4 linked regions of the Lepisosteus oculatus genome follow. The protein of the gene in region 1 purifies or fractionates together with the protein of each later gene. This does not show direct contact. Links are inferred from orthologs where the notes say so. Each region holds a gene or a part of one and is shown on either strand. Other genes may lie near its edges.

Region 1 (7,996 bases):
TAAAGAAATACCTTTTGAATTAATATCTTATTGTTTCATTGCAACATATCTCAGTCAAATTTCAAAAGTGGGGAAAACAGAAAGCATGCCTTAAGTTTTCATTTCAGACAACTGAAGCTTTTTCACCGTGGTGTTAATCTTATCACCTCCATCAAAAACTGTAAATGTGAGTACTTCTCACATCTCAACGAGTCAGATTTTACAGAGCACTCTGACAAAGAGAGCAGATGCTCTTGCAGAAGCATCTGAACACCCACATGCAATCTGAACAACAATGTGAGCACTTTGCCTCTAGATAACCACCTTACTTCTGCGTGAATCAGAAGCTACGTGTGACTACTATTTCATTACAGAGCCCGGGAAATAAACCACAAATTCCCAGGTCTTGCTTCAACGATATTCATCGCTTTCACAGCAGAATCTAACACAGTCGTCTTGCCCTCAGGCGGTCTCTTCAAGGCAAAGCTTCTTGATGGAATCTACAGCGAGTTCATTTCATGTTGCCCTGACATCTGGCAAGATCCGTTCAAACTCCAACAACACTGCCAGTCAACACCACACTCCTCTGCAAACCCATTCTGTAACTCACTGGAATTCAGTAAATGGGCATTTTGATAGGCAGTGGCCTGCAAAACAAAATTTTACATGTGCTATTCCCTAATATTCCTATCTAATGTGTACAAGCAGTTTGGCTGAGTCAGCGACTTCTGTAGTTTTATCTAACTGCAGTGTGAAACAGACATTTTACACTCACTCTACCACCATTTTCAATGTGGCTTTATCTTTTTTTTTTTAACGGTCCCAGTTTAAGCCACAAATCTATTTTAAATAACCGCAAAAGGAAACTTTAGTTTCCACATAATGGATGTTTCTAAAGAGGAATTAATTTTTAACTGGCAAAAAAATACGACGTCAACTTGTCTTATGCAACCTTATCAGAACATTTACAAAGGCATTGCTTGGATTAAAAAATGAAATAATCATAAATGTACTGTACATACATTAAAAAAAAAAACATTAAAATAACAATAATATACAAATATACAGCCAAAGATCAAATTTTAATTAATAATAATAACTTTTTCCAGAGACCACCAGGGGGCCGCTCAGTTGGGAACCTCCAGCCTAGGTTATTACAGTACATATCCTGACCATGTAAGAAAAACACTTACTTTGGTGGGTTATCTTTTGGATGTTAGAGCTTATGGCCTGTGCCAGCTGATTTGCATCCCGAGGTATTCCAGATTGGTAAGACATTGCAGCATCAGGTGTTTCTTCAATTTTTAAAAGGCACCCTGGATGGAAAAAAGAAAACTATAATAAATAAATGTAATAACACATAGATATTTTACTTCTTGGAACGTACAGATTCCTTTACACATTAATGATTGGGGGAACTGTGATATCCTCTGAAAGGTCTAAGTGAAAAAGTACTGAATTATAACATAGTCATTTACTAAAACAGCAGCACTTAACAGGACGTTTTGTGATGACATTTTAAAATGTGTAACGTTTAAAATACAGTCATTTTTATAGAAATATTAATGTCACATGAAATACTGTGGAATTTTTATTTACCAGACCTTCCTCACCTTACCTAAAATAGGACAACTTACAGTGTTTAGAAATGTTTTACCTGAAGCGTACTCACAAAGGAAAGAGTAGACTGGATAACAAGCTGGTACAAAAAAACAAAATGACAAGGAAAAGACATTAAGGAGAATGTTGTAAGAGGAAAGCAAGTGCCACTCAAAAATAAAATGAAGTAATAAGCAAGTACATACAAATACAAAACGGTAACATATATACCGTTAAAAATGGCAGGATTCAATCAGTGAAATAATTATTCGTCCCCGGCTTGTAAGTGATTTTCTAGCCATATACCTGAGCGGCAAAACATGTTACTCTATGTACAGTATTTACAGACAAGGCATTTCAGAGGCCTAGCCTTCTGGTCAACCAGAAATCCCCAGACTGCTCCTAAGCACTAAACTCTTAATATGCCTACTGAGGCCACAGCAGCCATATCACTCTGCAACTCACAAAGGGCAGCCCACTGAAGCTAAGCAGGTGTGAGCCTGGTCAGTACCTGGATGGGAGACCTCCTGGGAAAAACTAAGGTTGCTGCTGGTGTTGAATCAGCTGTGATCTGCCACTTGGGGGACACTGACAGCCCAGATTACAGCCTGCAAGGTCTCGACCAGTGGCCACCAATTATGTTCCTTAGAGAACCGCTTTGAACGATATGACAGTGAAGTGCTGGAAAAGACTTTGCTCCATGTTAAACTACCCCAATGACACCCACGTCACTTATTATAATTATACAGTGTTAAAAATAGAGTTGTATAAATTGACAAAGTAAAATCATATATATATACATAAGAATAACATGCTCACCAGCCACATTACTAGTGTAATACTGTATACTGTAAAAGACTGGCAGAATTCTGTTGCACACAAAATAATTCAGCTATATAAACAACCACAAGAGGCCATAATTTATTAACTTTATTGAGAACCAAGCATGGATAGAGCTCTGCCACTTGCAACTTAAGTTTATGTTGCGCACAATCAGCTCATTTAAAAAAAACAACAACTTTTCACTCAAGTTCTCCAAAAAGTTGCATTTCACTGATGGTTTCTCCATGCAAGTAAAGCAAACATTACCGTTCCTCTCAAGAAGACATACTATCTTTGTCATAGGATTCACTTATTGCAAGAAATAAACTGAATCTCTCAGACCTAAAAATTTAACTGTTTTCTTGGCAGTACTAAGAAAATACGCCTATTCCTATTAAGCAAGAACATAGATATATTATTATAACAATGTTGGGAGACTTTTTCTCATAGCAAGAACTGAATGCTGGCAAATACAGATTACGTTTCCCATATTTTCACTGCGTTTCATACTGTACCTCCTAGGCACATTACTGTGGAGGTTTACAGCTTTGCAGAGTGCAGCCATTAGGCTACAGTGTGCAGGTCAGATTTGCATTTTCCTGATCTTGCATGAAGCCAAATTTGTCTAATCATATTTAAACACAGACATCTCTTTTCTGCTGAAGCCACTCCTCAACAGCAAATCATACAGCAGGTGCATGTGTGCATCTTTAACTGATGCTCTCATGTGATTTAAAACTGAAGTTTGGATCTGTTGGGTACTAGACCATAGTACCCCATTTGTGTTCAAAACTAACAAAAATGTCTTAGTAGCCCATCTGTTCTAATTCTGATGTATTCAAAGCATGTAGTGAAAAATCAAGGCTGGATCTGACAATGTTAAACTCTTCAGAATAGAGTCAGCAGTGACACAAGCTTGGGTATCCAGCACGGGAAGCCGTTTCTCCGACAAAAGCAGTTCCTGCAGAGAGAGCGTTTAAAAAAATGGAAGTCTAAACAAAACATTCCATCTCAATATCAAGAAAAAACAATGCTGAAACAACTGAATGATGCGTACTGAGTATTATGTGCATCAAGAATGAAGTATAAACTCGTATTATTGCTAGTGTTGGATATCCTAACATGTTAATACCTGTTAACTGATGCATCCACCCACAATAAGGAAAGGCCTATTAATTATAATTATTACAACAAGGACTGCAAGATTATACCACATTTCCTTTTCAGCGAGATTCGTTCTACAAATTCTTCCCAATACTAAGGGAGTCCTTCAAGGTGTTTTTCCACGGTCTTTTCAGCCAATAGCCGCCGACTCTCATATCCATATTCATGTTGATGACAGCCATCTTACAATCACCTTACTGTCATTAACAGTCAACTTACAACTCTGTCTCAATAAAATTCAGTTTAGGTGAACTGCACTTTCTCCTAAACTTGGCTTAAGTTAGGGTATCCCATAGAAACAATTCAAACTCCTCCATTAGTTACAATTGCTAAACAAAACTTGAAGCAAACAACCAGGGGGGCCCACGTCAATCAGTGAGCTTGCAGTGGAGGCATCTGTACAAGATGTTTCCTCACTCACTACTCACTTGACACTCTGTTTCTTCTTATCTTTTCTTTCACCCCCACCCAGCTATATTTCACACCCCACACCGCACACAGTCACCACACTGTCTTTTTCTTGGTCTTTCAAACCAACGCTCACAACAGCTCTCAGGCCGGCATGTCCTCTCCCCTGCCAAGGTCCTTCCAGTGGCGACACGCCAGCCGTCCCTGGGTGCCAGAGAGCCGGCGTTCGGGCAGGTAAACCCCGTTACTCCCCCGACACAGAGCTGGGGTCCTCCCAGCTGCACGTCCCGCTCCTACAACTTCCACCCACTGGGCGCGACGAAACAGGAGAGGAGCCCCACTGTAGTCTGAGCAGCAACCCCCCACAGTTCCTTCCTTTTCTGCAGGAGCTGTTCCGGGCCCCCAGGCCTGCAGGTCTTCTGCATGGGCACACTGTTCACTTTCGCGTGAGCTGTGAAGTGGCTGTGACTGACAGCCCCCTGCGATCCTGGGCACACCTCTTCTCTGGTGCCCCCGCAGACCCCATACAACCAGCCACGAGTTTCTGCAGCCTGCAGACCGACCGCTGTCTAGCCTTACGGCCCTGCTGCCAGTTGTGAGTTGCAGTGGGTTTCACCCACGCATAGGAGGTCTGGGAGAGTTCCCCGACAAACACGGCTGCTTTGAAATGAGCCGTTGTCTTTCTCCGTCTCTCGCAGAGAGAATCCTTGCAGTGGCCCTGCAGAGTGTGAGAGCCAAGCAGGCCCTCTCTGCAGTCCCAGACCCCAACAATCCCCTCAGAAAAGTCAGACAGGCTGTTTACAGTCTGCTTACAGGACCACCCACAGTTGTGACTTATCAAACCATCAATTCCCTACAGCTGCAGCTTCCGGAATGGACACTGGCTGATAGCCTGTCACAATATAAGAAGGCTCCACGGCCGAAACGTTGCGTTTTCTTTCTTCTCTTTTCAGCAGTGGACAAACCTACTGTATTACTTGTTCCTGTCACAATAATATATACCACCCTATATCATATCAAGATACGACACCCGCACTCAATTTTGTGATTCTTTAGTTTTGGATTAACTGCCTCTCTCAACATACTGGACAACTTCACTTGTTTAAATTCATTTACATTACTTGAATTGGGAAAATACATTCTTGTCTTCATTGGTCCAGTTCTTTGCACTAGTCTATAATTTAAGACATAGTACCTTTATCTGACTAAACCTCCCACAGGTTATTACCCTCTGAGTTTTTTTTCCCAGTTTGTAGCTACAGATTGTCCCAGTCATTGGCAGAATAAAGCTTAAAGTATTCACCTTTGTATCTGTGGGCATTTTCAAATGTATGATTAAATGTTTGCCACCTGATGTTACAATGTAAGCCTCTTGACCAAGTAGTAATTATAAATGAGAATGAGGTAAGCTATAAATCCTGTAAAGGCACAATTCCCACATCCCCAATCCCACTTGGTTTCACAGGCACTGCAGAAGCATTTATTGCATATTGTTTGGTTTACAAAGCTAATGAACAATTTCCTTAAGCCACCACCCAAACTGAAAACTTAAGATTGTCAGAGCTCTAGTTCATGTGAAAGCACTATTAATGTATGTTGACTAATAAAATTAATTGACCAGGAGTTCCTAAGATACTTACAACATTATTGCACAACATTATGTAAGCAGTTAGTGCAAATAATTAATGATTCCTAGCTCCCAGATTCTCTTCTTAAAATTTCACGGGACCTCCTGAGTAAAAAGTAGTGAGATCTCTCAGCTGAGCACAGGCTAAGCTCTACAATCACATGTTCGGGCCTGGATCAGGTCGCTAGCAAACTGTGACCGGGATTCAGTAAGCTATGGCCTACATTTGACTGAGCACTACCAAGGGGTAGTGTGGGTTTAGTTGGCTGGGGCTCTTTCTGCAATTACAGACACAGTAGTCCCTTCCTCCTCCCAGGTGTATGCAGGCACATGGTGCTGTCGGTAAGGGATGTACCTCTCCTCCAGCTGATTCGCAGCCTCTGACATGTTGAAGAATAAGTGGGTCAAAGGTGAGAGGTACAGTAGCTTGAAGTCTCCCTACACTGTCATTATCCCCTGTGTGCAGTTGCGGGTTTTTACCAGCAAGTCCAGATTTTGGGGAAAAAAACAACAACTGGCCATTTCAAATCGAGAGGATATAACAAAAAAAAGTTGATACTTAATCGAAAAAAACTAAGTAAATATGTGTAGCAGATCATGTCAGGGAATAAACAATCTAATCAAATGGTACAATTAATCAATGTTCCCTGTGATATATTAGCAGTTGCTCACTAAGTGTAATATCGCCATACCGAAATTTGAATGGGCAAAACAAAAAGAGTGTTGGAGAAATTTGCCTGCTTCCCCTAAAAAGACAGCCAGGCATCCGTCTCAGAAATTAGAAGAAGTTTTTATTTCATGAGCATGGGAGCAAAACATACAGAGATGCTCAGTGTATTTTTCTCCAAGTGATTAAATTAGAACAGTCCTTAAATATTTTTCTGTTATCTCTCATGCTTCCCAGCGCTGATCAGACTGGCAGCATTCCAAGATCACACTCTTCTTCCTCTTCCCTATTTGCCAAAGAGAACTTCTTTTAACACAATTGGTTAGTTACATAGCACGCTTTCATACAGTATATAACACAGTATAGAATTACACAGTAGCCCTTGTATCCAGCATTCTTCCATTCCAGTTCAAAGCAGCTCTGTATGTCCATCTCATAAAATACTGCAGCTTCAGCAGAAAAAGTGTGTACTAAGTACACAGAGACCCTCACAACAAAAGGCTATTTGGATGCCAAATTCCAACAGAAATCAACATAATTTTAATGCTTCTTGAGAACAATGTGAAATGGCGGCCATATCACCCTGCAGCTTGCAACTGGCCGCCCACTGAAGCTCGGCAGGAGTGAGCCTGGTCAGTACTCGGATGGGAGACTCCTGGGAAGCTATGGTTGCTCCTGGAAGTGATGTTAGTGGGACCAGCAGGGGGCGCCCACCCTGCGGTCTGTGTGGGTCCTAATGCCCCAGTATAGTGACGGGGACACTATACTGCAAAAAGGCGCCGTCCTTCGGATGAGATGTAAAACCGAGGTCATGACTCTGTGGTCATTAAAAATCCCCGGGCATTTCTCAATAAGAGTAGGGAGTTATCCCGGTGTCCGGGCCAAATTCCCCCCCCCGGCCTGTACTGTCCCCCTGTATGATCGCCTTGCACTTGCCCTGAGATGGACTGGCGTCCCGTCCAGGGTGTACCCTGCCTTGTGCTCGTTGCTTGCCGGTAAGCGGTTTGGTAAATTACATGATATGACATGTAAAATGTGACTACAGTCACCACACACTTTAACCAAAGTATCTGTCCCTTTCACTGTCTAAAGAACATGAATCTGTGTAATGATAAAATAACAGACTTCTGCTAGAACTGAGCAGTATTTGCCAGTTCAGGATTTTGCGGTATACTTCATTATTCTTAAAAAGAGTTAAAAACACTCGAACTTCAATCCTTTTTAGATTTGATAGGGATTGACTGATATTATTGTTAATTATTTTCCCTTTATAAAAATATCAGCATCAGTTCAAGTGGGCCAAAGCCATTCCACATTTTGCAGTGCATCAAACCCACGCAGAAGAACTACAGAGCTGATAATATTTGACAAATTCATTGACTTGCAGAATAAACCAATCTACCCACAATCCTACTGAAATAATCATTCTTTTGAGGTTCCAAAGTAGTTCCAAAATAGCAAAGGATGGATTGGAAATATTAAGGAAATAATTATGAGTTCCTAAATATTAAATATAATCTGGTTGTTCAAGCTTTTTTCTGATTTAAAGAAGTGCCAATAAAGCATGACTAATGTTTAACTATTTAAAATCCCTATAAAAATCCTGTTTAATAACATTTAAAATTAAATTTGATAAAATATGGTACATAGGCAAGAAAGTCAGCAGTCATGAGATTAAATACAAAATTGTGACTGTCTTCTTATGTCTTCTACATACATCGATGGAGTTT
Region 2 (7,327 bases), on another chromosome or scaffold:
CCAGAATTGATATATTCTTTGTTAGAACAAACTTCACTGCACACACATGCTAAAAGTAATGTTTCCATGCTCTTCCAACTTCCTACGGGAGTCCGCTGTCTGAAAAATTGTATCTTTACTTTATAACTTACACTGAAGACGTACAGGGGCTGTGATTAATTGATGGCATTGTCACAAAACGGTACTCTGAATTTGTTAGTATAAAATGTATTGGTTAAAAAACAAGTTAATTTTTTATTTTCAGTGCACAACTTCAGGATGGAAGTGTTGTCTATTTCCTATTCAGCTCTTGTCAATTCCAGAAGCTGCAATGAATTATGGGAAGGCCATAGGTCATGTTGCAGGTTGCCTGCTGGGAACTCTACTGTGCAGGAACAAAACTTCGCATTTGCATTTTTGTGTTCATGTAAATCCAGCTTAACACAAAAACTGAATGAGCCCTTAATAAGTACATAAAATTATCTGCACCCCACCACATTCATCAAGAATCCTCAAAAAAGGGGGAGAAGGAGTGGAGATTGGAGGAGTTGTGATAAATAAACTTCTATCCCAAAGAAATGCCCCCAGGGCCTGGAAAAAGGGAGACCATCTGGGACATATCAGTCACAGTATTCCTGGACTCGCACGGTTTGTTATTAAAAACAGGTGACTGCTCTTCTGTGTTTGGAAAGAAGCGAGGAGAGCTGCCTATTCCAGGCCTCCCTCCTACCTCCCAGCTCGGAAAGGATCAGGAAGTCTGCTCCACTCATCAGAGCGCGGCTCTGGAGTTTATTTCCGACGTCTCGCAGGGAGACGTTCCAGCGCTGAGGTCTGGAAGACGCCTGTCAGAGCTAGCGGAGGAGGGGGTAGTTTATACACACTCTGAACACTAGCGCAGTTGTAGCTTGTTTAGTTTTGTTTGGAACATCAAACAGTAACTCCCACCCTTCTTCTAACGGCTTCAGCCTCTTCAGGGTTGTGTTGGAGCCAGAGCCTGGCCTGGCAAGGTGCACACACACTTTAGGACCAATTTTCCCAGAAGCCAATTAACCTTCCAGTATGGCTTTGGACTGCGGGAGGAAACCCACACAAACACAGGGAGAACATAAACTCCATGCAGGCTGCACCCCAGGCCTGGAATCAAACCCAGGGCCCCTGGGTTTGTGAAGCAGCAATGCTACTATCAAGCCATCCAAAACAATAACAATGCAACCAAATTTGTCCAGAGAGCCCCAACATCTCTTTGTCTAATGGAATGGATGAGTATTTTTTCCTTAAGCTTTAGAGAGAGGAGATCCAAAGCTGTATCTGTCATCTGTGAATGCTCATCTGGCTGGTGGATCCCCTCAGGAGGGCTCTGGACCCTGTCCTTGTGAGGATGAAAGGGTAACTAAAGGCTCTTAGCTTTGGGAGAGATGATGACAACCAAGTCCTTCATCCCAGCTGTGCTAAATCATCATTCCCAACCTCTCTTCTCAAAGCTTTATTTCTAGATCTCTATCATACCCAAATCCCTCTTCCCCTTCTCCAGCTATTTCCACCTGTGCTGCTGCCCCTGCATGGAGGTGCCAGCCTCCTCATCCCACAGCCTGGGGGCCAGACCTCACCCGAGCGGGTAGAGCCAGATTTCAGCCCGTCCATCAGACATCTTCTGAAGAAGATGAACTTCAAAATATCCAAAACAAGGGACTATGGAAGGAACAATAACTGAGACGTGGCTGTGATGGACCCTCAAAAAAAGTAACTAAGAACAAGGTGAAGCCATGAGTTTAAAGACACTTTTCTAAACAGATGAGCACGGTGCCTGACACCCAGGGCAGCACTGTCCCTCCCTGCTCCAGGAGGAGCTGAAGCCTGTCCACGTCAGCACTGTCCTCCTGCTCCCAGTAGACATTTTGGGCCTTTTCCATCAGGGGACAGCAGGCAGTCGGCTGGGCTGAAACAGGATCTCTTCGAGATGCAATTTAACATCAAAATTCCTCTCACTGGTTGACATGAATCACCACTAAAACTAACAGATCTTTAAGTGGGAAACACCTTCCTGTCTTTCATCGTTTACGGTGTAGCATGCTTTAGTAAACCAAACCTCCCAACTTTAGGACCAAGTCATTTCAATTTGCCACCGTTATTGTGAGAGGAGCAAGATGAAAGGTGTGCTGAAACTGTCCACTTTCATATCCGAGAGCATTTTAAATTACACAATTAAATATTTTCGGCCTGGTTCCTTAATTTGTTTTCTTGTTGACATTACCACATCCCATTTCACTACTTCCTGTTGCATCATCAACTTCTTGTTGATTTCCGTTTTCATTCTTTCACTGCTTTGTTTTCTCTGCAAGTCTGCTGTGAGTCTCTTGGCCAGGTCTCAAATGTAAATGGACATTTGTTCTCAGCTGAGTTCTGACGGCTACAGGAAGGTTTATTTTTCCTCTGCTTCATTTGTACAGTGCCCATGAACAGATTAATCCATCAAATCCATATTAAGAGGGAATCCATACAGTACGTCTTGTACCTTAGGAAGAAAGAAAAGGGGGAAATTTTAGGGTATTAGAAATGCCTTTGGTGTTGAGCTCTCACGAATGGACTACATCTGCCACACAGATTGCAGGGAATAGGCAATACTGAGTCACAGCACAGGGGCCACAGAATGGTTAGTATTGTGAAGAGGGTCAATCGACACACACAATCACAAAGGCGCTCTGTTCATAAGAGAGCAGCAGTGACAGCTGTTGAACCCCTGAGGATCTGTACTGACACCCACCCACCACTCTCCCTTTTGACATGCCTTCCCACGCACGTCTGGACTGGACAGCTGTGGGGAGGTGACACCGGCCCCAGTCGACACCCTGTGGCTCTCGTCCCATCCCGTGCGACATCGGGCCATGCGGGAACATCACCATCGATTGCTGCGGTCTCCCTGTTTGATGTGGTGAGGCTGCACTGCTGGCCTGGAAGCGGTCTGCCGGATAATGAAATCAAGACTGTTTTGAGCAAAGCCCACACAGTGGCAGCGTGGGACAAACAATCTGGCCTTCATTTCATAAACCCACTGCAAGGAGCATTCCTTCGTATCATTATTGTTTTTATTTTTCCATGACCTCCCCATCCATACCACGTTCTAAATCCACAAACACAAGTCAGACAGGTTGTTAATATCGCATCTGAGGCCCGGCAGGAAGCTGGGAAGCTATCCACAGACCTTCACCCAACTTCCTTACGGACAAGAGAATTCCGCAGGGCGCCAGCTGTTGGACTCCATTCAGCCAAACCCCCTGGAGATGAAACTGCGGAGACGTGCAAGAAGTTCACGGCTGTGTTTTGCCACGGCTCAGAATTCGCTCCAGTATTTCTAACTCCAGTTATGTTTAATGGACTGCGTACTGGTACGCACCGTGTACATACAGACTCACAGATACGATTTCCATGTCTTGACCATCTCTCGTTACATCTGAACCTTTAAACCATGGTGGTGGTCAAGTTACTACAATTTCACGTGATTTACTGCTGATGGAACAATATGTACCCGGTCAATCGTTATAACACCAATAATGATCATATTCTAGCAAGAAGAAAAAAAAAAGCACACAATGAGAGGAGCAGAATTAAATTGCCTCCCTCAATGTAATTGAAGTATTTTGAATAAAGTATTTTGAATTGAAGAATTGCAATAAGGATTTGGAATACAGTGGAAAAGCATAGGGGCGGACGCCGAAAATAAAATCCATTCTAAAGAAGAATGTTTTGAGTCTTGAATTTAAGTCTCGAGTTTAATTAAAATGTCACATCGGCTCTTATACACGCACTGCGAGGATGATGTTACATGACAAATCAGATTTGGATGTGACTGCACTGGGACCGGATGGTGGGTCATTATGGGTGCAGTTGTGACTCGGCCCATACAACTGTTCGGCTCCATAAGAAAATGGGACTCTTTTTTATCATATTAATCAAAAAATTAAAAAAGGCTGTCGAAAACCACTTATTTACACTTCAAAGATTTCTCTCCTCTGCAGTGGGCCGTCATCACAGATCGTTACGGAAGAGTAAAGCTTTATAAAAGCCTTCACTCTTTAGTAGACTGTGCAGTTTGGGGCGTTTGGAAACAAATGCCAACGATGCTCAGGTCCACACAATCTGATCCCGCTACTTCCGCTTTCTCCTCCGTCAGTACCCATAGCAACAGGAAATCTTCCAGTACGTGACACCCCGTCAGCGAAGATCTTTAGTCTTTTTGCGTAACACTTTACGCTCCCCACAGCGCTGCGGACTGGCGTAGTTCCCCGTGCTTGGTTGGTGAATACAGAATCTGCGAAAGGCAGTTGTTTAGCTTCCCGGTCAGCTGTGAGTGAACAGGAAGAGTGTTTCCCAGTTGAATTACGGATACAGCAGCTGCAGGCCGGCAAGGCTGGAAGTCACAGTTATTCGGTCAGATCTTTTTCAGAGGCTGTTCAATGATGAAAGAAGAGTGACAGTTGTTTTCTGAATAATCGAGAGTTTAAACTCCGGGGACTGCGAGTGGACCAGGCCGATAGACACGTCAGACACAACGCAGGTATAAAGATCTTTGTCCCCTGGCCTGTCATCGCCGAGTTCAGTTCAGATTTTGAGTTCAAACTGAAACAGTGGCGACTGCTGGTTTGTGCCTCTCTGCATCTGGCGTCTGCCCTTGGTTCTTCCTCACAATTGAGGAACATTTATCATTGCATTCTGATGTAAAAGTCGAACAGATTGGTCATTTACTCGTCTTTAGTCCAACGTGTGTGCAGGTGTTAATTTCTGACACATCCATCGATCGCAGGCTGGTTTTCCTGAACAGAAGTGCCTCCTGTCCTCAGAACTAAAATTAGTTGCTCTTAATTTCCGTTGAGACTCCCTGGTTCTGGTCTCCGTGCGAAGTGTGACGTGGAAGATTTAATGTCTTCAAGATTTGACTCCTTCCTGTCCAATTTTTAGAATTTTAAACGTGCTACTATAATCTCCTGTAGGGTGTATTTCTCCAGCATGAGCAGGTTAAATTCTTTCACTCGGTCATCACACAACAGTGGTCTCAATTCGAAGTTCTTGTCGTTATAAAGCAGTCCGCACTCATTGACTAGGGATCAACTAATTAAAATGGTTAATTACTGCAGTTAAGTGATTGAGAGGTCAGTTTGAAGACTCGTGGGGTTTTGGCCTTTCAGTTGGGATGGGAAGGTTGATGTGCTATTATTCCTTTTTGAGCAGGATAGTGAAAGAAGTCAGTAAAGTCATTGGTGCACAACAGCTACTGCTGCCAGACATCTGTACCACACCAGTACTTCAGAAGACCAGTATAATCACTGACTCATGACCTGCCTTTGCAGAGTGAATATGAGCGTGTACGTCAGGATATGGATTTAGACTACCCAGATTTAGGTGCAGTAGAACTAATTTACCCATTATTCCCAAAGCTATTAACCTGCTTTGTTTGGACAACCGATATTGTACATTTTACTTTATTTTTTATCATGCTTAGATTTGATCATATTTTGTGTCTTGTGCAACTGTCTCATCAAGTTTCAGTTTTCTGTCTAAATGGAAAAGTTTATTTAAGATGCTAACTTGTTTTTCTCATCTTATGCAAGTATGTTTCTTATTTGTTAAGGGGATCATGTTGTGTTACATCTGCAACTGTATGTGTTGTGTTATGTGTTTTACTTCAAGTAGGTAGCCTGCGTAGGCTGCAGAGGAACAGGTAAAAGTTTAGGTTTAGGTTTAGGAGAAGCAAAAAGACACAGCGTTTTAGCTGTGGATCCTGAAGAAGAAGCCTATTTTCTTTTCAGCATGGACTGAAACTTTACCTGTTCCAATGTATTTTACTTGCCTGGAAAGCACATTTCCCATCTGGGACAGTTACGGAAGTGAGTAAGCCATGTCTTGCCAGCACTGCGCTGCTGATATCTTCAGGTGTCTGATATCTGGAGTTATGGTTGGAGCCCAGCAATCTTGGAAAGCGCTGATCTGCTTGGAACCACTGACGGAATTGGCCACCGCTGCTGCAATGACTCTTGATTGCTCCACAACGTAGACTAATCATCAGGAGAAAAAGTGAGGTGTTGTTACTTGGGTAGGGTCTATCAAGAGTGAGCTGCCATTGTGTCGTTGCTGTGGGAGTTTTCCCTTTGCCCTTGACTGGCACATCGCACCACCATGAGATTACTGCGCCATCATTAAATTGAGCATAATTGGACCCATTTCCACTTAATTATTTCAGTCTGGGGTGGCTAAAGCCTGTCACTGTGTCTTCTGGTTTTCATTACACCCTGATTTCCTAACTATGTAATGGGATCAATTCTTTGCTTGATCAGAATTCGTGCTTTTCCCAGTCCTTTTGTCCCGGTGGTGATGTAAAGGAACCTGTAACCCGGGCAGGGCAGGTACTCTCCAGGACCAGGGTAAGCTTGCTCTGATTTTTAAGGCCTCCATCACGCCTGTAATTCAGGAGGTGGAGACTCCTGTCGTGCGCAGGAAGGGTTGGGACAGTGTGGGCAGTCATGTGGCTACACTTGTGAAGACGCCTCTGGAGGTTGTGTCATTGCAGCCCTGTCTTTTCTGTGTAGATATCAGTAGTGTTGAGTAATCACTGTCAGCATGTCTGGGCATCGGTGCACCCAGTGAGAACGCCTGCAAACAACCAAAACCCTCTTTAAGACTGCTGTGTGTTTCATTTATGTGTTGAATTGGGGGAAATTATCCAGTTCTCCCCTTGGGTTAACTATGTTTTGGAGGGTTAATTAGTCAAGGTTCATGGTATTCTCTGCTATTGATTAAACGTCATCTCTAAAGTCTGTATGATTGGGACTTTATAGGAAGGGGTATTTACAGTATAAATATTTTATAGGCTTACTCTAACCCTTGGGCAAGGTGCATCTCTTGCAGTAAACCACCACCATCAATTATAATTATTTTAACACTGTAACAAACAGCAATTTATTTTCGCAGTAAGTGAACCTGAGATACCTGTCTACTAGTTATACTTGCTGCTGTGTTGAATATGAGTGTTTTATTTTCCTGATTTTACAAGCATGTAAACCACACGACCATGCATCACATTTGTCACCTGTGTAAGTTGTTTTGAATAAAATGTATTTCTTGATCCTTATCTCTCTTTTTTCCATCCATCACACTCTCTCTGTTTTCTGTCCTCTCCAGTTCATCCTGCAGCCCCAGTTGAGCTCTGTCCCATTTTCTGTATCCCTTCTCTCTGCATTCTCTCTCTCGTTGTGTTCCTTGTTTACTGGAAAACTCAGGGCTGCTTCTGGCCTCTCAGGGTTTCCTGGGAAAACAGTTTTCCAAAAAACCTGCCAGGAAAGCTGGAAACAAAATAGAA
Region 3 (7,297 bases), on another chromosome or scaffold:
TGACTTCACTGTTGACAACTTTGAGTTTTTCTGGCCCCTGCAGATCTGTGTTCCGTTTATTCATAATCTGGAATGTAATGAGTTTCACTGCAACGAGCAGACAGATCAGTTCCTCTCCAGAGCACAAGAGAGCACTCAAGAAACAGGCCCTCTGTGACCATCTGGTTACTGCTTCCTGGGCTATATCTCTGACCTTGACCCTGAGTGTGCTTCTGGTTTACAGTCAAGGCAGATGGATGAGTGTAACCCTCTTCAGCAGGCCAGGAAAAGAATCAGAGTCCAGGCTAGAGAGGTGAAGCAAACACCAGGCCTTTATTTCAGGACTGAACTTAAGGCACCATACAGCAGCATGAAAGGAAGAAAAAGTTTCTCTCTCCTTTTTCTTTCTCCGCCCATTTCCTCTTTACAGCCAGATAACAGAAGTTACAATCCTCAATCCCACCCAACCCCCTCTTCCAGCAGCGAGATGGCTTTCCTTTCTAGCCTTTCTGTTTTCAAAAACTGAATTTGTAGCTGCCTGCAGTCTACGCGCTGCGTGTCATTATCCCAAGGACGTATTGTTAACAAAAGAAGTGCTTTAAACATAAAGAACTTTTTACAGATGCAAGGTCATTGGTGCTTTGAGTACAGGCATAATGTTATAACTGCAACAATTTTGAGATTATAATGGTGTTATATAAATGATGTAGGTGGGTGCCAGTACCTACAGCTTCCACATACCAAAAAACATTCCTGAACATCCCTGAAATTACACATCCCCGAAGGACCAATGCTGTGCTGAAAGGGGCTGGTGGGAAGTGTTTTAGGAGCTCAGTGTGATGAAGAACTGAAATGCAGACAAGTCTCAGGGATTCAGCGTCTACCAAACCTCAGAGAAGCATTGTGGTGCTGGTAAATTGTGACCTTGGGTAAATAACAGCTCTTAATCAAGAGCAGACTGCTTTCCCTCCCTTTGCAGCTTTCTGATCCAGTCTGTCAGAAAGGGAACACACAATACTCATTCTTGACCCCCTGCAGGGCTCAATCCTAGCTCCCTACTGCAAAGTTCCACGACAACAGCGCATTAATTAAAACACAGCTCGGCGTTTACTGACTGAACAACACAAACCTTCTGCCTGGGTGGGAGTCAGCAGCAGCTCTGACCTCAGGAGTTGCTCATTCAGAGACCCACTTCAACGGAAAGACAAACCTTCCCCTGAAGAGCGGGACTCTGGAGACCTGGTCTGGTCAGTCTGCACTGGTGCCCACGGCACACTCCGGGTTTCTGACTCATACAACACTCATTTCATTCCTCTTTTTTCCACCAACCTCATTTCCGGTAGATTGGATTCCTGGAGATCTCTGCACCCCTACCGTTTTCCAACCACTTCCCTAAGTGCCAGAGCAAACTTGATCCTGGTGGAAAAATGCCTTGTAAATAACCCTGGATATGTGGACACAGCCAAAGAATTCAGAGAAAAACTTCAATCTGAGTATTTTTAATATGAGTAATGCTTTAATAAGAAAAAATGTATGGGTGTCTACTTTTACTTCTTTTTTACAGACTAGTGTTTCCTGTTTGTTTGGTGTTCAGTTTGTTGGAGCAGCTTGGGCACCAGCAAGACTACAGCTGTGTCTCCATCTGGGACTGAACCCACAGACTACACAGCCTGGAGCACCGCCCCACACTGTGACGTGTCCACTCTGTTCCCTGTACTCCTGCTCTCTGCTCATCAGTGCCCACACTGTAGCCCGTACTCCTGCTCTCTTCATCTACACCAGACAAGCCTGCCTGCAAGACTGTTCAGTGCATCAGAACTCAGCACTTGCCTTGACAATTCTATTGAGCCTCTTTATATAGAAATATAGCAATTGGCTAAATACAAAACATGAAAGGTTTCCCTTTTCAGTGCCGATATTGCTGTACCTGTACCAGACTCCCAGCAGACGGCCATGTTTCACATAAGAAAGAAGAAACTCCTGTAGAAACCTCGGCTTCTCGGCTTCATGAAAAAACAGGCTGGTCACTGTAGCTGAGCTGGAAGTACTACAGCTAACCTGAGCCCAGCTAGGAGGTAAACAGTGTAGTATTGACTTTGGCGCTAACCCTCCAGAGCAGACTGTACTTACTGCAAGTGAGAGTCAACAGGAAATTGCGCAAAAGTAAATACAAACACTGAAATACCAGAGCAGGACCTGAAGGTTATTTCTAAAAAAAAACAAAACAAATTTCCAACCACAGCTTGTATGGTGTGCTTCGGGCTGGTGCTGGGGCTCTGTGTGGTCTCCCCCACTTCCCTTTGTGACCTGGGGTGTGGGTCAGAGGAGGCCAGCGTGCCTGTTGCTCAGTCGGGACTCCGAGAGCTGACACAGCGCTGCCCGCACCCTCTGGAGAGCGGTTTCATTACACTTCAGCGATTCTCTTCCTAAGAACATACAGCACGACTGGAGCAGTTTAATGTTCTCCAAAAGCATCGATCTGACAGCGATATGAAGAGACGCAGAAGCGCTGATGCAATCCTGCACGGCTCTCGCCTTCAGATGGCACACACACCGGTGTGCGGACTGCGCATCTCCAATGGGAACCAGTAACCAGTTCATCCGCAAACGCCAGCAGACGACTGTTATTTTTTTAAAAAAGCTCAAACTCACAGAAACCCCCTGAACATCCTACGTAAACTCATCATCAAAAAGCGCTCACTAACACACGCGAACATCTGCCGCTTGGCACTCAGGATCGTCATAAAGAAGCGCACAAGAACAGAGGTCAAACTGCAGACAACAGACCTCCTGTCTCCCCACATCCCACACACACACACACGGCCCAATATCGGATATACCTACCCTCGCCAGAACACCCTCCAATAGTGCCTGTTTCTCCCCTCCGCTTAATCCCGCACAAAGCGAACCGGCTAAATTCTCCAGACCAGCCGACACCGTCCCAGGACCCAGACACCTCTCGCAGCAGCAAGCTGACGTAACACACAGGCTGCAAGCGATCCGCCAATCATCGTGTCCGCAGCACGGGACTTCACCGGCTTCCGGCTCTGCCACATGTACACACGCAAAAACCGCAATATCCTAAAAAATAGATTCTTTGTCGTCCACAGGCAGAAGGGGGCTTAAATGCTTTAGATTTTAGGACATCTAATGCTATTTTTAAGATTAAATGGATACAAAACTATTAAAATAATTAGCAAAGTATGTGGCATATAATCCCCAATTTGATATTTCAAGAATTAGGGGTATAGAGTTTTTACTTAAGTGTAACTTTGACATTGGAAAAATCCCCTTGAAACTTCCTAGTTTTCATAAACGTACTTCTAACGTGGTCACTTATGTGTAAACATAACTTTTCCCCTCATAGATTTACTATTTGGAACAACTTTATATAAAAGTTAGAAATAAAACCTTGTTTTTAAAATTGGGTTAAGAATGGTATAATTTGGATTAAACAATTAATCAATGCTGACGTTGAAATATATAATTACATCGAGTTTGTTAATACAATATTTCTATTAATTTTGATCAGTATTTCATTGTAATTAACGCGATTTCTGGGGAAATATCGGCCTTTTGGCTAAGATCAAGTGTATCTACGCTTTTCAAAAAGCCGCCTGTAGATGACCAGACCAGTCCCGAAACAAATAAGACACATGAGATGCTACAGGCATCTTGGGTTTTGAGGAGTACAGCCTGGCTTCCCGAACACAAGCAGCAGATACATGCTCGACCTGTAGGAGTTAAGCACGAAGAGGTCCTAAAATATCTCCTGTAAACAAATTACATGTTTTGGAATGCATGAATAACATTGAGATAATGTTGACAGATAGATGCGAGTATGCATTTACAGATAATTATTCAGATCGCCTCTAAATGCCCTGCAGTATTTTTAAGTGAACGACGTTTACAGCGCTAAAATACATCCTAAGTATGTATTTGACGCTTTTATTAGCAGACCATTCTTAAAATTAAAGGTACGATGGATTGGTCAGCACTGTAATGCGACTATAACAGTTCAGTGTTAAGTCTTGTGTGAATTTCCAAATTAGGTTTTGGCATCGAAAAAAATACTAATTTCGTGGGTCACATACAAGTTTAAAAGCATTATGAAGGATCAACCAAGAATTTAGAACTTAATATTTTTATACCTTCGCAGTTTTTATTCTCATGTAGCCTCACTCGATATTACCCTTGGGGCGATGCATTTACTCCAACCTCTGAAATCCTTACGTAAAGGCAAGTTAAAAGCTCCGTGAAGCTGCCCCCCCTACAGACAGCACAAACGATGAAACCCACCTCATTCGTTAGCGCTACGTTTGTGCCGGTTTGTGCCGTTGAAAGTAGCGTTTGTGCTGCTTTCGTTCCCGAGATACACAGTGACTTTGACCTCCAGTGACCCCGTCTGCCGAGTTCAAGCGCTCTGTTACAGTTTAGCTCGTACCATTAACATTATAAAGACAATCAATATCCATAAACATATGAGCCTCCTTAGATGTGAATAATACTAAGACATGACGCATGCCGACAAGTTAACCATCTATGACATGAACCTGTGGCTGTAATTTACGTAAAATCACCGTGATTGTAAGATCTCTGTTTTTCCTTTTCTTCCTTTTCCTTTCTTTTCCTACCGTGACTTTTCCTGTTGCCAAACGCGTAACTGTGGGATACCATCGGGCAAGACCTCCGCAGCTTGTCATGATAGGGACCCCATGTATATCGCATGTATATCGCGGCAGTGTATATCACGACTGGCGCCTTGCTTCCATGCCACCCTGCCACAGCTATCGCAACAGGTCTCATATCAGGACATGATATACCCAGATAGACGTGTCGCGATGTATGTACTCCATGTCACGACATGGGGGTGGGGCATTTTGTCAGGGTATGTCATATCGCGATATACGGACTCCATGTCGCGACATAGGACAGGGCATTTTTGTCGGGGTATGTCATATCATGTCGCGACATGTTCTGTAAGGAATACATGGTATTTGAACAATTTTAATCGTATATTTAAGGTAGAGGAAACACCTGCTTTGTACTTCAAAAATGAATAGAAATGTAAAGTCTATGATCATTATATTGTTATGCTCGTGCTTTCAATGTTGTTTTTAATTGTTAAATTATATCGCTCTTGAAACTAATACCTAAAAATGTGAATATGGGCTCTCGTGTTGAACCAGCGGCATTTTGGAAACTGGTATCTCTTCACCAATGAAAGGAGTACACAAGCAATACATTTTCGGGAACATGGTTAAAAATTAAAAGAAAACACCTAACCCGATGAACTGTTGTGACATCTGTTGTGCTTCACAATCAAAGTGATCAGCGTGCTTCAGCTACGATTACCAGCTGATGCAGATGCCAGTATCATCAGTAACTCCTGTGCACTAGTACTGCCTACAGTCTTTCCACCGGCTCTTAAAGAGAAGAAGCAGACTCTGGGTTTTTATAGCGGCTGACATTTAACCAGTTACCAGCTCATTCCATCTGCAACAGATTTTCTACGCAAAATAAAATAAAAGCATCGTGAAGCCTGATTTCATGAGGTTAATTGATTTTTGGAGACCTGTATCTGTGTGAATGTTTCTGTTTAATACTTTGCAGCATTCTCATCTGCATATTTGAATTTAAAAGCTGTCAAGAGTTTTGTGTTGGTAGGATAGTTTGGCAGACAATCACTAATAGTAGTGATGCACTACTTTTGTTCTGATTTTTGACAATAGTGGATTCTTACAGATAATAAACCTGTTATACGTGTTTTCCTATTTGTATAAGAAAACAAGGGACCTCTGAGAGCACAATCATATCTATAGAGTTCATCATTGGCTTCTCTTACAAGTGAATCTTCCAGTATCCATAATAGCGCAGGAACAGGTGTTTTTGTTTTTTAAACATCACAGAATCGGCCAATAGAAAACACAGTACAGATATGTGCATGCTCAGAGTGGTGCAGTACCACAGGAGATCTGACAAGTCTGGCTTTTCCTAACAATCAATGTTCCGATATTAAAGTATACAAGTCTATATAGCAAATACTACATAAGCAGCAAAAGACGTTTTAAAAGACTTGGAGAACATTCAAGGGAGGGCAAAAAATAAAATAAAATGTATTTTCCGGCAGATTACATTTAATTGTGAATACCAAAAACATAAACTATAAATATGAAATGGGAAACTGCTTCAAGACACTACTAATGAAGAATTGGGTGTTTATAGTGATGCATCATTTAATTCTTATAGGCAATGTGGGTAAGTGATACAAACGGCAAACAAAGTGCTACGATAAATGTTTGAAAGTGTAGAACATGAATCACGGGATGTTATGTTGACATTGTACCTAATCAGCGTGACTTATGTGAAATTGAAACTAGACGATGCAAGTGGAAACTATTTGGAAATGCAACTGAGATTGATTTACAACTGAGTACAGGAGGAGTCTTTACACAAAGAGCTGCGGAACAGGGAACACCTGTCCGGCCCGGTTGCTGAAGGATTGACTTCTTTCAAGAAACGGCGTGGATCGTTAGCTTCTAAACGGCTTTCTTTCCTTTGTCACGTCTCTTGTGTTACAAACAGAAATATAAATAACGTTTAAATTAGCCACGCGAAGATAAACATCAAGCGAAACTAAAGACGCTGTTGCTTTCAGGATCAGCAGGTCCAGCTCAGATCTTCCGGGGAATGCACCGCAGTCCGTGCAGCTCCGCACGTCTCAGTGGGCCGTGTTGCGGAGATCTCCAAGGGTACAGTCTGAAGTGTGACGTGCTTGCTTGCTTTAATACGATACTCGCTGGAAGTCAAAAGGCTTGGATTTCCGTGAAAAGTTATATAAAGGATAGACTGGTTTTCAAACTGAACAACACCCGTCTGCCAAACAAAATGTACGCATATGCACACACATGACAAGAACTTCTTATAAATGAAAACGAATGAACAAAATGATATCCACATTTCTAGCAGATATCAATGTGAAATAGTGATTGCGAGGTAATGCGGTTCTCCGTCGCTAGATGGAGCCTAAGTTACAGTGTGGAGCTCCCTGGAGTCAAATCTGGATAAACTAAACATGCAAGTTGAATACACGACGTTTTGTGAACCGTACAAGAACGGACTGCTGATCTGTTTTAATGTATTTCTGAATAAGGTGAATTAATTCAACTGTACATGTAAGAAATAATCTTTGATACCATTATTAGCTGGTTACATTATTTTTATAATTCACTGCTAAGACGTGGTGCCTTGCATCAGGCTAGAGGGTGTGCTGTGGGTTCCGGATTAATGAGATCAGCACTGAGCAGCGCCTGTCCCG
Region 4 (7,544 bases), on another chromosome or scaffold:
AAACACAATGATGGGCCGAAGAACTTCCGCTCGTTTATAACCTTTCACAGACGATCATGTAAAGGATCAGTTTTAGGAGTTACTACTTCTGCTATAGAAACACAAGACTAAAACCTTTTGAAAAGGTTATATCGTATGTGTGCTACAACCTTCGTTTATAGCACACACAAAAGAAATGTTCAGTTGCCAACCCACAGTAAAAAAAGGACTCAACTGTCTTGAGTGACATGGTCTTACATGTACTGTGCCTTCATTCATAATACCTGACACAGGCAGTCGAGGGGGATATGTGGGTTGAAACAAGATAAGATCACTTTATTGGCCATATACAATTTCTTGTATTATGAAATTGTCTTTTCGCATACCCCAGCTTGCTCTCCATGAGACACACAGACAGGGAGAGAAGCTGGGGGTCAGAGCGCAGGGTCAGCCATTGTACAGGGCCCCTGGAGCAGTTGGGGTTAAGGGGCTTGCTCAGGGGCCCAACGGAGTAGGATTCCTCTGCCGGCTGCAGGATTTGAACCAGCAACCTTCCAGCCACAGGCGCAGATCCTCAGCCACAGAGCCACCGCTCCACCCCATTTTTTATCGAAATGTAAATTCCAATATTTTTCTCCCAGTCATCAAATTACCAAAAGACTCCGCGGCATAACACAAAGTACATGCTGATTACACAGCAGCCATTTCACTTCAAAACATAGGGAAGTGCTTTTTTTTCCTGGAACCATCTTCAGTTTTCCATCAGATCACTTCTTGGGAAAACTGGGAAAATACTTAACGGCAAAAAATACAGCCCCCTTCCAAATATTGATTTCTGTCGCGTTACACATTGCAACAGTTTATTTACAGATCACAGAGCGGAAAATCCTAAGAGGAGCAAATACCCTTGCAGCTCGTCTTATAACACTTAGTTGCAATGAAGCGTGACTTCACAAATTCTACTGGTATGGATGATAACAGCAGAAAGAGATGTTTGATATCTTAGTGAAACACATTGTTTCTTACCTGCCTTTGCAAACTCTGCTGCGGCACTGTCATAATCAGGCTTCCACTTCATGAAGCTCGTTTTTAAACTATGACGAAAAAAGAATCAAGCAATTATTTACTGAATACTGTACGTCTCACAGAGGAAGACCAAGCCAAGTGCTAAATACAGTAGGTGGCTCAGGAAAGCTATCTTTGAAGCAATATCCTTTCCAATTGTTCTGTACCCAACCCATAGAGCATTATACCTGCAGTACACTATTAAACAGCAAAGGTAGTATAATTTAAGGTGCCTGTAAGAATCACATCTTCGTATTCTGGGGTCCTACCACCCCAACATTTTTTTCATTCCCACTGGAAAGAAATTCTCTTCTTTTAGTCTGAGTAACTTTTTCTCATCAAATATCAGATCCTGGAAGACAGATGCACCAGTGTGTGCTTGGGGAGGTAAAAGACAGCTGTCCCAGGACCGAAGTATTATTAGTATTACTCCTGTGAGGATGTTACTGCTATTGTTTTCATATTTTGAAAATACCGTATCCCATATGTTTCCTTCTTGATTGTTGGGACATGGAGTCAAAAGACCTTGATTTAGGGGTCAAATTGATGATTTGCCACTTAATTGTGCTTGCTATAGGAGACATCACAAGCTAAATACAAGAATAATTTTATGTATAAGGGACCAAACAATTTAGGCTTCGCTCCATCATAAGAAGGCTTACTAGGTTTCATAACAGCACCTGCCTAGACTGTGGGAGATTCATAAACTCTGCACTTTCATTTTGATATTTTGGCCCAGCTCTTCACAGTTATTCTATCAGGCTCCATTGTTATTTACTTTATGACTCATGTGAATCAAGGATGGTTTGTGAATGTGTTAAAAGTATTTGATTAAACTCTATGAGTATACTGTAGCGAGCTAATCTTGGTCTGTGAAACCAGCTCACAGACTATTTTAGCATTAGATAGTCCACAATCGGAGTAACCGTGTGTAATGTGAGCGAGACCACTAATAAATACGTAACAACGCACAATCTGAAATGCTGTTAAAATCCCCTGTACAGAAGTACAGAAGTGAAAGAAGCAAAAGACAACGTCCACACTGCTTTCAGAAAAATGGGAGTATTTTCAAGATCTATGTAATTCCTAATCCCTGCTGACGTCTCAGTAGGAGTATACCTCTAGTAAGGGGGCAATAATTCAGAGGCACAGTAACCAACAACAACATCATTTCAGCCAACAAGCTAGAGGTAAGAGCACCTCTAGCTTGTTGACGCTATTAAAAAAAAACACAAACATGTGAGGTTTATGAAGTATTACTGATTGCACAAGATAAATTTTCCATATTGTCTGGCGTTTTTCAGCAATTTCCTAACAAATGTTCAGACTCAAAATTCACATGACATGACAGCACAGGAAGTAAATCCACGTTCGCCCGTTGAATTTACCATAGGGCATGGTGGTAGATGTAGTATTTGAGATATATCGTGATCACAACAAGAGAGGGCAGAGTCAATGACAAGAACTACAATCCCTACAATCCTCGGTAAATGTTGCGCCATCTGTTTCACAGCTCTTGACCAATCAGCATGGAGCCTCCCGAAAGCTAATCCAGCCAGTCTTTTAAAAAAGGCGAAAAAAAAATAATCCGTGGGATAGAAACTAGAATAAGAAAATACATAATTATGAGAGTTTAACCCACGATAATTTAAATGTCTCGCTCGGTAAAGTACCCCTGATATATAATTTAACTGACACTGAAAAAAAAATTGTGATCCCAGCCTGATTGTACAAAACATACGCAAGAAGGGCTGCAGATTCCCGACCTAAATAAAGCAATCGCCGAGCACGATCGTCCTTACTATTTTTCCGCCTTAGCGATGTGTTCGTGTGCTTCATTGATCTTCTGAGCGGCCATGGTCCCGCGGCAGGGGGAAAACAGACCCAGCACAAGCACCTGGAAGCAGTGCCCCTCTGCAGAGCTGAAATATGACAGCGCTGTCTGCACAGACAGGGAGAGAGAGACGCCCCCGTCACTACGGGTGCCCGACAGGGACAGTACTGCTCACGGGCCCGGCTGCGCCAGCTGCGCCAGCTGCGGAGCTGCCCAGCTGCGCCAGAGTCTTCCAACTCAGCTCAGTATTTCTGACACGTCATGTCGCCTTTATTCAGCGAGATGCTAGGATTGTAGTATCTGTTGCCATTATAATTGGTGCCGACTAATTCTGCCTGCCCGTGTGTCGGTGTGTCTCATGTAGAGCAAGCTGGAGTATGTGAAAAGACGAATTCCTAATGCAAGAAATCGTGGCTGATAAAGTGATATCTAAAAAATGGTGACAGCCTTAAAATCATTTTTTTTTTAGGTGACACGTACCGTATGCCGTTTATCCACCAGGTGGAAGTACTGCACTGTGTTGATTTGTTTTGCCCGTGCGAATAAACTGCGCATAAAACGTACAACGACAAGAAAGGAGTGGGATAACAGTAACAGTTGTACATGGGGTTTAAAATCCGATATTAGTCAGGTGCTAAAGAACATATTACAATAGAGGTTAGAACTGTCATTTCAGTACTGCGACACCAAAAGAACCAGTAAGGATTAAGAAAAAAAATATCAAGAGTGACGCGAGAAGTTGTAGACCAATAAGCCTGACTTCTATTACAAATAAGGATATGGAAACAATTATTACAACTAAACTATGATCCTAGATTTTATTTCATATAGGTGAGCATTATGGATATAGACCTTGCCTAATCAGCTTGTTAAACGTTCTTTGAACAATTAACAACGGTAATGGACGTGCACAGAACATACAATATGTTGTATCCAAGGGAATGTTCAGGCTGTAGGCATTCAGAGAAAGGCGTGTGTTTAGACTGAAAATTAGTTAATAAATAGAAAAAAAGTACAGACGAGGGGTGAATGCTCAAATTGAGGAGATGTAATTAGAGGAGACCACCAGGGACTTGTCCTAGGACCTCTGCTCTTCATTTATATCAACGATCCAGGTTCTGGTACAATTAGTAAACTAACAAGTTTACAGATGATAGTGAAACATGAGGATTAGCAAATGGAATAAAAAAAAGATACATTTCAATATCATTTATTATTATCATTCACCTTAATGTTGTTGTTTAATGTAGATAAGTGAAGGTGCAGGTAGTGAAAACAGAATCTATCATTATCTGCTCTCAACTAGTCTTTTCACAAAATCATTAAATTCACAGAAAAAGTTTTGTGTGCGCCATTTTATAAATGAAACTAACAAGGAATTTAATACTGTATTGCTTTAAATCTGTCAGAGATAGCCTTGCATTTTTTACGTTGTAAAATAATCAGCTTTTGGCATGAGTTAATATATTATATGGTTTATATTTAGTTCTATAATTTGTAATCCATTGGAGCTGGGTATTATGTGATTGGAAGTATAGCCAGTCATGAGATATCATGATAATACCCAAGCAGAGGATTTGAATTAGCCTGTGAAAAATACTTTCTTCATAGTTAACATTTGCTCAATTATTAAAGAAAGAAAGTTTCGTATTGATTACAGTACCTGAAGAGGGAGCTGTGCAGAGGGCTACAGTGTTAAGGAAGTGAAAATAGAGAAAATGAGGGTTATCAGACCCTTTTTGACAACCGAGGAACTGTCTCAATCATTTATGAATGTGCAAATTTCTTCACAAATTTTACATTTTACGCAGTGTGCCATTCCTTTTTCAAAGCGATCGAATATTCTGTTGTTTTTTTTAATGTGGCCTGATGTAAAGGTTTGATTAAAAGGATCTTCAAGTATTCCACATCATCAGTTACCAGCATTCATTCTCATGTGAAATCAAAGGTTTTCATCTTTAACAGTTGGTTCGTGGTCAAATTAGCCAGTCCAGCAGTTTTGTTCATTTATGGCAATTGTTCATCTGCTTCCCACTCCTTGGCAACAAGTGAAACAGGAAAATTAAAAAATATCTTCATTTTGTGGTATTTTTGATGGACTTGAGTCTGTAAAAACCATACATTTCCTGTAAATAGCAGTTGACCAGGGCATTCCCATCATGCACCATTACTGCGCTGCCAGTTGCAAAGTCTGTATAATGTCAATATACCTATTCAGCGCACAGATCGGGCCTCTGTGTGGTTTAGAGGAGCATGGAGCAGACATTCATCATTTCCCTCGGTTTGCCCAGACACCACTTATGTGTATTCATGAGCTTCAGTGGGTCAGCCAGAAAAAAGAATATTTTCAGACATACTTTATCATCCAGTAAGGTTTACCAAACCCAAGTGTATACAATATTGTGATTGTCGGCTTAAATTGTTAAATCGTACTTTAGGAAACAAGACTTTAAAGGACACCAGGTTGTTTTTTCTGTAATCACAACACTGGTTGAATTAAACACTTGGGTAATATGTTTTTTTTTCCAATGCTTTTTTTATCATCCAGAATTAATACTTAAAATCAAATAAATGTCACATAATATCTATCCAGTTGGTTGCAATGTCAGTATTGTAACTTGTGAAAATGAATTGTCTTGTTACTCAGGGCTGCTAGGCTAAGAAAACATGCTGATTTCGCTAATTGGTAATTTGTTATAAAACTAAGGACAGAAACAAAATGTTGGATTTCTCCATAGTATTAATTTGAATTAAATTGAGTTTGATCAGTGTCATGCAATATACATTAATACTGTATATACAGAAACAAATAAAGGTTTGTTCCGTGCTGAAAAGAGAAGAAAAGAAACAGCATCACAACACTGACACCCGAAGAAGGCTCCACAGCCGAAAGGTTGTGTTTCCTTTCTTCTCTTTTCAGCGGGGAATAAATCTTTACTTGTTCCTTTGCAGCCTACGCATGCTGACGCAGCTCCTGTACCTACTTGAACTTCTGTAGATGCAGCACATTCAGACAACAAAGCATTATGAAGAAATCAGATAAGACAGCACATCAGTGGAGAACAGTACAATATACTTCCATGTTGTTATTTGAATTTGCGTTGAAAACACATGTATTGTATCTGTAAAGAATCTGAGAGAGAGAGCAACGGCGCCTCTGGATAACACGCGGTGGTCTTGCAGATCTGAAATCACTAGATGGCTCCCCTTGCACATTTTATTTAGATGCTCCAACTTGCTTTGCATTTAATCTGAGATCAAAATCTCACCCTTTTATTGATTCTTTGTTATGGACTGTAATATTCTTGTGTAAAGTATTGAAAAAATATTCTGTCAGCTGAAGAAAGGCTGTGTGATTTTGCCTGTGTATCTATGTTGCTGTGTGCATTGTGAGACAAGTGGTAATTAAAAGAGTGCCACTAGAAAAACAACACAACAGAGAGGGCATGAAGGGAAAAATCCCATTTCTTTACACAGGCAGGGACTGTGATTTTCACTTTGGACCAGTGCTATACATGGTTAAAAAACTGGTACTTTATCCATAGGTGTGAAAATGATTGTATAATGAAGGAGAATATTCCAATAAAACAATTCAGTTCAAAATCCAGATATAGATGTGTGTGAGTGTCGTCTACGTTTTAACAAACCGAACACCACACTTAAGACTGAAATCTTCTTGCTGACCTGTGTGTTTGCTCCCTCAGATCCCCAGTTGTGGATAGGTAAGACAACGCAACACATTGTAATGGCTTCTTAGACCAAAGTTTCTACGTTACACAAGATTCATCCTATCCTGAGTTGCACGTTTATGGAAAGAGAACGCAAAGGTCAAAATGGAATTGGAGGGCCTCTGCTGTCGATTGTCTGAGATCTGTTTCCTGCATTGTTTGAGGAGTGTGTGAGCGAATGCGAAAAGCCCAGGGCTCTGCGTGTTCGTCTGTGTTGAGTGCATGCACACAAGGTTTCCATCACCGACGTATAACTCACAGGCCAGACCTCAGGCTTCATGTTTCCAGTGAGGCCCCACCCAGCTCTGCTAGAGTCTTCCTGGAAGGGAGCGGTGCCCAATTAAAACTGAATTCAAATCATCACAGCTCACAGCTGCAAGGACACCCAGGATAAATAACTGTAGCCCTGCAGGACAGATCGAAGATCGATCTCAGTCTACAATCTTAGGAAACTTCTTGTGTGTGTAGACTGAAAACAACGATTATATCGAACATCCACAGTCACTTCCCTGATCGACAGTGAAACCCAGTGGCTGAGCTTCAAGCACACAGACAGAGGAAGGGGAGGCATTTGTGATTGGATGTTGTGAGTTAGATGTTAAATGTGGTTCCAAAACCAATATTTTCTAATAATAAATACTAAGAAGAACTACACCATGACCCTGTACTGAACTAAGCAGGTACTGAATATGGATATACAATAGTAATAGTAATAATCATTTCATCCAATTCAGGATCATCAATTTAGGGTGCAAGGTAGGATGTATCCTGGACGGGATGGCAGTCCATCAAGGGAACACACAGACATAGACACACTCATACCAGGGTCAGTTTTCCCAGAGGACAATTGATCTACCAGCATGTCTTTGGACTGTCAAAGGAAACTGGAGCACCCAGAGAAAACCTCCGCAGACAAGGGAAGAACGTACAAACTCCTC

What was found.
Region 2: the proteins of stx7l (region 1) and vamp4 purify together in Homo sapiens (affinity purification with mass spectrometry; 3 studies listed by BioGRID and IntAct, counting the BioPlex papers as one, with this or other methods). This does not show direct contact. The link is inferred for Lepisosteus oculatus from reciprocal best matches to the Homo sapiens genes STX7 and VAMP4.
Region 3: the proteins of stx7l (region 1) and slc31a1 purify together in Homo sapiens (affinity purification with mass spectrometry; 3 studies listed by BioGRID and IntAct, counting the BioPlex papers as one, with this or other methods). This does not show direct contact. The link is inferred for Lepisosteus oculatus from reciprocal best matches to the Homo sapiens genes STX7 and SLC31A1.
Region 4: the proteins of stx7l (region 1) and napgb purify together in Homo sapiens (affinity purification with mass spectrometry; 3 studies listed by BioGRID and IntAct, counting the BioPlex papers as one, with this or other methods). This does not show direct contact. The link is inferred for Lepisosteus oculatus from reciprocal best matches to the Homo sapiens genes STX7 and NAPG.

Annotation. Positions count from the first base shown.
Region 1 is NC_090697.1:4,612,041-4,620,036, reverse strand, and holds the start of stx7l (syntaxin-7), read right to left. Parts: upstream 3,020-7,996; 5' UTR 3,012-3,019; coding exon 3,000-3,011; intron 1,674-2,999; exon of another isoform or gene 1,637-1,673; intron 1,297-1,636; coding exon 1,173-1,296; intron 1-1,172. UniProt on the Homo sapiens protein: May be involved in protein trafficking from the plasma membrane to the early endosome (EE) as well as in homotypic fusion of endocytic organelles. Mediates the endocytic trafficking from early endosomes to late endosomes and lysosomes.
Region 2 is NC_090704.1:31,384,793-31,392,119, reverse strand, and holds the start of vamp4 (vesicle-associated membrane protein 4), read left to right. Parts: upstream 1-4,313; 5' UTR 4,314-4,531; intron 4,532-7,327. UniProt on the Homo sapiens protein: Involved in the pathway that functions to remove an inhibitor (probably synaptotagmin-4) of calcium-triggered exocytosis during the maturation of secretory granules.
Region 3 is NC_090719.1:255,812-263,108, reverse strand, and holds the start of slc31a1 (high affinity copper uptake protein 1), read right to left. Parts: upstream 3,011-7,297; 5' UTR 2,824-3,010; intron 2,077-2,823; exon of another isoform or gene 1,907-2,076; intron 1,396-1,906; 5' UTR 1,314-1,395; coding exon 1,309-1,313; intron 1-1,308.
Region 4 is NC_090701.1:56,736,923-56,744,466, reverse strand, and holds the start of napgb (N-ethylmaleimide-sensitive factor attachment protein, gamma b), read right to left. Parts: upstream 3,018-7,544; 5' UTR 2,903-3,017; coding exon 2,847-2,902; intron 1,074-2,846; coding exon 1,006-1,073; intron 1-1,005. UniProt on the Homo sapiens protein: Required for vesicular transport between the endoplasmic reticulum and the Golgi apparatus.